Canis lupus familiaris: one gene and its partner. The protein of the gene in region 1 purifies or fractionates together with the protein of each later gene. This does not show direct contact. Links are inferred from orthologs where the notes say so. Each region holds a gene or a part of one and is shown on either strand. Other genes may lie near its edges. The genes, in order: RAB11A and EVI5.

The links.
Region 2: the proteins of RAB11A (region 1) and EVI5 purify together in Homo sapiens (co-immunoprecipitation; 3 studies listed by BioGRID and IntAct, with this or other methods). This does not show direct contact. The link is inferred for Canis lupus familiaris from reciprocal best matches to the Homo sapiens genes RAB11A and EVI5.

The regions. Positions count from the first base shown.
Region 1 is NC_049251.1:30,623,411-30,627,750, forward strand, and holds the start of RAB11A (ras-related protein Rab-11A), read left to right. Parts: upstream 1-1,344; 5' UTR 1,345-1,458; coding exon 1,459-1,498; intron 1,499-4,340. UniProt on the Homo sapiens protein: The small GTPases Rab are key regulators of intracellular membrane trafficking, from the formation of transport vesicles to their fusion with membranes.
Region 2 is NC_049227.1:56,869,746-56,873,558, forward strand, and holds part of EVI5 (ecotropic viral integration site 5 protein homolog), read left to right. Parts: intron 1-369; coding exon 370-528; intron 529-3,813. UniProt on the Homo sapiens protein: Functions as a regulator of cell cycle progression by stabilizing the FBXO5 protein and promoting cyclin-A accumulation during interphase. May play a role in cytokinesis.

The DNA of each region.
Region 1 (4,340 bases):
TTATCCTGCTCAGCACAGGCACTCTTGCCCAAAAATCTAAATTGAAGGTTTGTATATAGGTGGTAGGGGGTATGGCAGCAAGTGGGAAAAACATTTTGTGATAATACACAACTCTTTTCTTTCTTTCTTTTCTTTCTTTCTTCCTTTCCTTTCCTTTCCTTTCCTTTCCTTTCCTTTCCTTTCCTTTCCTTTCCTTTCCTTTCCTTTCCTTTCCTTTCCTTTCCTTTCCTTTCCTTTCCTTTCCTTTCCTTTCCTTTCCTTTCCTTTCCACTCTTTTCAAATACAGGGAGGCTCTGCTGTGAGATCTTTGGCAAGTCACTTGAGTCTTAAGACTCCACATTTTTCGCTAAAATGAAAATTGCCACTGTTTGCTGTTCGTTACGTGAAATTATTATGGAGACGGGTTTAGCTTAGAGCATGACAAATTTGGGCAAAAAAGGGTTTAGCTTAAAGCATGACAAATAGGGCTCAAAAAGTTCTTGATGAATCTTGATGAGGAGGGTGGGCGAAGTTCTCTGAATGACATCTGGAGATAGTTTGAGAAATTTCCAGAGAAAAAAAAGAGTGAAAAGCGCCTGCCCTTGAATGAAGTTAGAGGTTGAAAATTGTAGCATAAAGGAATCAAGTTACATCGAAGCTGTTGAAGCTAGCTGGCTTCGACAAAGGCAAAGACCCAGATTTAAAAAAAAAAAAAGAAAAGAAAAGAAAAAAAAAGGCGAAGCGAAGAGGCTCCTTAGGAGACACCCAGGTGACAGTGGTTACAGATCCAAACGGCCTTTGTGGGCAAAGATTATCCTTTGAGAAATTCTGTCCCTGCTTCGTTCAAGGCCATACATATCGTAGTTGTATCACAATCACTTGGCGAATAAATAAATGAATTGAAGTATGGTCAGGAAAGGAAAAGCAGACCGCCGCAGGTTCCACCGAGATTTGAACTCGGATCGCTGGATTCAGAGTCCAGAGTGCTAACCATTACACCATGGAACCGCCACAAGCGCACGGGCGCCCTCTGCTCTCTAATTCTTAGAGACCCCGCCCCCCAACCACAGCCTCCCAACGCGCAGGCGCGGCTGACGGGCTTCCCAGCACCCCGCTTCCCCGCACGCCGGCGCGAGGATTGAGAGGGTGGCAAGCGGCGGCTCAGAGCTGGGACTCCAGAGCTGCATTCCCCACCTAAGCCTTTGGAGGGGGGAGGAGAATTGGGGGGAAGGGGGCAGAATTTGAAGACGGACACGACTCGGCCGCGCACCGCCCCTCCCGGGCTCGGGGGCGGAGCGTCGCCTCCCGGAAGTGCTTCCCCCGAGGGGCTGGGGCCGGCCGGAAGTGACGTAGCGGCAGGGAGGGGTTCTTTCCCCGGTCCGGCAGCTGAGGCTCGGCGCTCGGGTTACCCCTGCAGCGACGCCCCCTGGTCCCACCGGTACCGCTGCTGCTCCCGCCCCTTCGCTCCCCGGCCGCGCAATGGGCACCCGCGACGACGAGTACGACTATCTCTTCAAAGGTGAGGCCGTGGGCTGCCCCACTTTCCTCAGCGGGTCGGGGTCCGGGGGCCCCGGGGCACTCCCTTGGGGACCCGCGCGGGCCGGCGGTGCCCCGGAGCCGGCCTCCCTCCGCCCTTCCCGGCCGTGCGGTGCGCGCCGCGCTCTCCCCAGGTCGGGGCGCCCTCCGCGCACGCCGGGCTCGCAGCGACCCCCCTAGGCCCTCGCCTGCCTCCGCGCCCCCCACCCCGTGTCCTTCCACGGCGGGCCGCCGCCTCCAGCTCGCCTGCGCTTCCCGGGTCCGGTGCCCCTGGCGAGGGCCGCCCCTCCCACCCTGTCTTTTCGGGTTGGCGCCCCTCCCCCTCGGCGCCCCTGCCTGAGCCCCTGTGACCGGGCCTGCCCTCGCTCACCTTCCCGTAGGCGCACACTCCCACCACAGGCCCCCCACCTCTGCGCCCTGCTCCCCCCGGACCGGCGCCGCTCGGGCCCGCGCCAGGCCCCGGTCGGAATCCGAGCGGGCCGGGGGGTCCCCACCCCTCCCGCCCCCATAGCCCCCTTGGTCGGTTATAGCCTCGCACCGCCCCCCCCCCCGCACCCCCCGGGGCTGCTCGCTCTCTCCCTCCCTTTCCTCCCCCAAATAATCGGGACCTCTCCCGCGTCCCCCGTGCGACCCCGAGGGTGGGGGGCAGGGCAGGAGGGATTGCCCGTCACCCACGCGCGCACTTGTCGCAGTGACCCGACACACTGTTGGGACTTCCCATCTGGGCTTTTTTTTTTTTTTTTTTGTCTTTTTTCTTTTCCCTCCTCCTCTCCCTACCCAGCGGCAGCCAGCCCGGGATAACTCCAGACTGCGAGCGAGAAGGGGTTGCGGATGGGTGGTGGCTGTTATCCTTGCCAGACCTGAAGGCCCAGTTCCTGAGCAGGAAAGGTTGTGCGCTGCACAAATACTCGCCTGCTTTATCACTGTGGACGGGTTGCTTCCTGCTGCAACGCCGGGAGGATCCCGATCTTTTGGTGTTTTTAGAACAGGAAGGGAAAGAGTCCCACTTTTTAGCCACATAACCTTTCCCCGAAAGGTGGGGGGGGGGGCTAGGGGTACAGTTGTGTGCTCTTTGGTGGAATTTAATATGTATGGCGAGATCGGGAAACCTGTTAGTGCCCTTGGACAGAACATACCGGAGGGTGGGGAATGGATAGAAAGAATTGCTTATTGGTTACTCGGGAAAGAATCCCGGTAGTTGGTATCAACACAAATAAAGGGTACAGTGTTTAACCAGGAAGAGTACGGTAAATGCTCTTTTTTGTTTTGTTTTGTTTGTTTTGTTCGGTGATTGCGCTCTCGCTCAGATGCTCTTTCACTGCTCCTGAATTAGGGCAGCCATCAGTATAGTATGCTGAACAAAGATCATTACCAGAGAGGAAGAAGCCATTGCTATTAAGGCTTTACAGTGGAGGGTGGAGTTTTTTTTAAAAAGAGTGTTAAGCATGGTGATGGTTTCTGACCTTGCCATTGGGTGCTAAGAATGATTGACTGAAGGAAGCAGGAAACACTGCTTTACCAATACTTTGCAAATCTTACCACCACCTAACTCCTCTGGGCTACAATATTCTGTAAATATAGGGTGAGTACAGGGTTCATCCTTGCTCCCCCATAGTGAGTGGAAAGTCGTCTGCAGAGAAGAGCTTACTTAGTGCATTTTATAAATACAAAAAGGAAGCATGGGTTCTTTAGCATACTCTTTGCTGAGGGCATCTGAGGTCATGTGAAATTACTTAGGTGAGGCCCTAGAGACTGGTGTTTAGTCCTTAAAAGATTTCTTAAAATAAGGTACAAGGCAGTAAGCAGCTAGGTATCTTTGAAGTGATTTAGAACAAGATGGACTAGCAACTCACAAGTCTTTCTCCTGTTTGATGTGGAGCTTGACTGTTGTTTATAGAAATCATTCCCCACACCCCCACTAAGAATATTAGCTGTCCTGGATTGGTTTAAGGGATTTTAACTTAACTTTGGGATTAGACCATCCTAATAGTGATTGAGGGCAGAGAGCTTTGGAATCACGCAGGCTTGGATTCAGATTCTGACTCAGGTCTTAAACTTGCTTTGTGACCTTTGAGCCTCAGTTCCCTCATCTCTAAAAAGGAAATAATACCTATCTCTCAGAATTAAATGAGACTGGTTTTGAGGATTCAGTAAGTGATAATAATGTGAAGAAAGTTCTGTGGTTCTTGTCAGCTTTTTGAACCTTAAATCTTCACAAGAGCATTCAAGTATTATGAGAGAAATTTAAAAGTAGGAACTTTTAAAGTATTTTATGTTTCCATGGGTTATGTTTTCATTTTGTTGTACATTTTGCTTCTTAAGATTGGGTCTTAAAAAGATTTTGCTGAGAAGAATTTCCACTTTTTTAAAGCTCTTACAGGATATGAGTCACTTTTTTTTTTTTTTTTTTACTTTAGTGCTGATTAGTTAGCCAATTTTTTATTTATAGAGTTATATCTTAAAGCAAAGCAACAATAATCCATTTTAAACTAGTTTCATTCTTCAGAGGTTTATTCACTGAGATGAGGTAGGCCCTTCTACTTGTAAGATTGCTTACCTAGCACACCTTCACACTTTGAGGGAATTGGAAGTTAGTTTGTAACTCTAACCAGTTGAAAATGAAGGTATATTTTGATTCGTACAGGATAGAGTAGTCCAAATGGGAATGTAATGTGGGGAGAGAGCAGGACAATTATTCTGTGTTAGGCATTTGTTCTTGAGCATTAATCTTTAGTTAAGCTCAACAAGGAGACTATTGGTGTGTGTATGGGTATTTTATTTTTTAAAACTTGACTTTTTATTTCAAAAGCTTTGATTCTGTAAGT
Region 2 (3,813 bases), on another chromosome or scaffold:
CCCGTTTTTTCTTTTCTTGGGATTTCATTAAAAATTTGGAAATCTGTCATAATAAATTTAGGGTGAAAATTGTGTTCTATACAATGATCCACAGTATAAACAGATTTGAACTATATCTGAGCTTGTATTTCAGGTCTGCCACTTACTGGCTATATTGACCTTTCTGAAGTTACTTAATCATCATTTCCATTTTCTGACCTGTATAATGAAGATAATAGTACATAACTATTAAAGTTTTCTGGGGATTAAATAAAATAATGTATATATAGTGCTAAATATAGTACTGGACATGAAATAAGTTCCAGGAAAGTTAGCTCTTATTTTGATACTGGGAATATTTGTTGCAATATAATTTTTTCTGTCTTTTAGCGCCACTTAGCTCGTACTACTGGGAGATGGAAAGACCCACCTAAGAAAAATGCTGTAAATGAGTTACAGGATGAACTGATGACCATTCGACTTAGAGAAGCTGAAACTCAGGCAGAAATAAGAGAAATTAAACAAAGGATGATGGAAATGGAAACACAGGTATGATGGGAAAGCCCAGTACCTTTAAAAAATGGCCATTAGCATGGGACACCTGAGTAGCTCCATTGGTTAAACTTTGGACTCTTGATTTTGGCTCAGGTTATGACCTTAGGAGTACAGGTGTGGAGCCTTCTTAAGATTCTCCCCCCCCCCCCCCTTAAAAAAAAACATCATGAGCAGGTCAAAATCTATGCACAGGTTATATCATCTCTAGAATAGGTGTAGAATAGATATAAAAGATGGATATATGAAACTGTCTAGACTATAATTTCCTAGCCCAAATGAAAACCGCTAAAAATTGTAGTCTTTGATATCAGAGATTTTAATGTTTTCTTTGACCCAATCGGCAAAGTTTAAGCACGTCATAAAACTGTATTTAACTTGTTGCCTTATTGCACAAGTTGAGAGGAAATATTCATGTAGAGCAAAATTTCTCAACCTTGATTCTTAAGATTTTGAACCAGGTAATTCTTTATTTGGGGGACTGGCCTATGCATTGTAGGGTGTTTACCAGTATCGCTGTCCTCTACCCACTAGATCCAATTTCACTGTACTCCCCACCCCAGGTTGTGATGACCAAAAGCATCTCCACACATTGCCAAATGTCCTTAGGGGACATAATTGCTCCTGGTTGAGAATAATTGGCGTAGAATATAATGTGAATGATGCTTCCGTATGTGTAATGTGGTGACTCTGAGCAGTTAATTCCAAATTTATACTTCTTTTTTCTCAAGTCTCCCCTTTCTGTAATAAATTCTATCTTAAATATACTTGATTTAAGATCTGCAAAATTCTTTTAATGGAACTCACTTGCGTTATAAAGTATATTTAATTTTTATGTGGTACATTTGTGTGGACCATATTCTTTCTGTATTCTCTGTAATGTTAGTTGGTTTTCTAAGTACTTAGTCACTAGGGGGCATAGTTAACTCACGTATCATTCTGTATACCTATAGGTAAAATTGTCTGAACTTGAATATGGTCACACGAATCTGTAAATCCTTTAGGTTAAACAATATACCTTGTTTTACACTGTTCAAAGTTATTTTCTTGTATTTTTCATTATAATTAAAAATAACAGTAAAATTTTGAAAAGTAGAAATCTAGCTTCTGGGACACCTGGATGGCTCAGTGGTTGAGCATCTGTGTGCCTTTGGCTTATGGCATGATCCTGGGGTCCTGGGGTTGATTCCCACATTGGGCTTCCTGCATGGCGCCTGCTTCTCCCTCTGCCTGGGTCTCTGCCTCTCTGTGTCTCTCATGAATAAATGAATAAAATCTGAAAAAAAAAAAAAATAAAGAAATCTAGCTTTTGTATTGGGAAGTTTTATTTCATAAAAGATTTTTATCTCCTTGTACACACATTAAAGATGCAATACAGCCTATAAGCCTATATTCAGGGTTTTTATCGTTCTTTTTTTTTTTTAAAGACTTTATCTAATTTGAGAGAGAGATCATGAGAGCACACAAGCAGGGGGAGAGGGAAAGGGGAGAAGCAGGCCTCCCACCAAGCAGGGAGCCCAAGGCAGGCTCAATCCCAGGACCCGGGGGTCATGACCTGAGCAGAAGGCAAACGCTTAAATGACGGAGCCACCCAGGCACCCCTAGGTTTTATTTCAAAGTGGTGAACGAATCAAATTCACAAACATCGTTTTGAGAACTTTTGAATACAAACCACCGTCCAGCCATTAGAAAACTTAGCACATGGGAATCAGGCATGCACAAAATACATTTATTATAATTCACTATATTACATGATGGTTGTTAAATAATCATTTCACACTATATGTAAATCAAGTCATTATTCTGTATACCTTAGACTTACACAGCACTATATATATCAATTATATCTCAATAAAATTGGAAAATGTGTAATTTTGAAATTTGGTAATTAAAGAGTTCAATAGAGGGATCCCTGGGTGGCGCAGCGGTTTGGCGCCTGCCTTTGGCCCAGGGCGCGATCCTGGAGACCCGGGATCGAATCCCACGTCGGGCTCCCGGTGCATGGAGCCTGCTTCTCCCTCTGCCTCTCTCTCTCTCTCTCTCTGTGACTATCATAAATAAATAAAAATTAAAAAAATTAAAAAAAAAATAAAGAGTTCAATAGAAATTGCTATGGAAAATAGGAGGGGAAAATAAATTCCAACTAGAAAGTTTAGGGAAAAGCTTGAACAATTTGTACTTTGAATTGTACCTAAGAGTGATTTTGAATGGATTTTGCTGGAAGAGGAATGGCATAAGGCACTTTTTCCTAAATGCCAGTGCTCGAACTAGTGATGGTCCATACAGAGCATCCAGATTAAGAGATTTGTCCTTGTTGATACATGTAGTTTCAATTCCTTAATTTTAGAAAATTTTAGTGCCTTTTAGAAAATGCCGAGGAAGTACATCTTAGTTTATTGAACCACACTCTTCTTTCTGTGTGCCAGTTTTTGCTATTACAGATAGTGCTGTTCTGAACATTCTTGCACATATTTCCTAGTGGATAGCTCTAAGAGTTTCTTCAGGACAGAGTTTTTTTTTTTTTTTTTTTTTAATACCATAAACCTCTTTGGCAGTCTGGAGCCTCTGGACTCTTTCTCAAAAATAATGGTTTTTTAATGCATAAAGTAAAATACATAGGACTGCAAAGCAAACTAGTTATATTGAGGTACAGTTGTCAATATACAGGTACAGAGATGTACACAACGCATTCACATGGCTGGATTCAGGTTTTTAATATTTTGGATTTTTTTGTACCTAAGTTAAAATGTACAATTTTTCTTTTGGGGGAGGCTTTTACTAGTTTCAATAGAAAGGTTATAAAAAGCTCATGGAATTAATTGGATTGTATTTTATCTTTTTTTGTTATAGTTTATAAAATACTATCTAAGATTTGAATTACTTGTCACTTCAGTATTTACTGGAATCCATTCCTTTAAACAGTGTTATCTTTTTGTTTTGTTTTGTGTGAATAGTAACTATCAATCCTACTTACTGAAAAGTTACAAGTCTTTTCAGGTTTTCTGTTTTTTTGTCTTGAGTCTGGTTTGGTAAGTTAATGTTTCCCTTCCATTTCATCTAAATTTTCAAATTTATCACTTAGAGTTGTTCAGAGTAGTTTTTAAAGAAATATCCTTTCTTTCTACTGGATCAATATTTGTCTCTTTTTTCATTTCTAATAGTGTTTATTTGTGCCTGTGTATTTTCTTGGAAAGACACAGAAGTTGACCGTATTTTTTAGAAACTTGCCATTTTTAATATTTCTAAAGACTGGGGGCAAAAAAAAAAAAAAAAAAGGCTGGG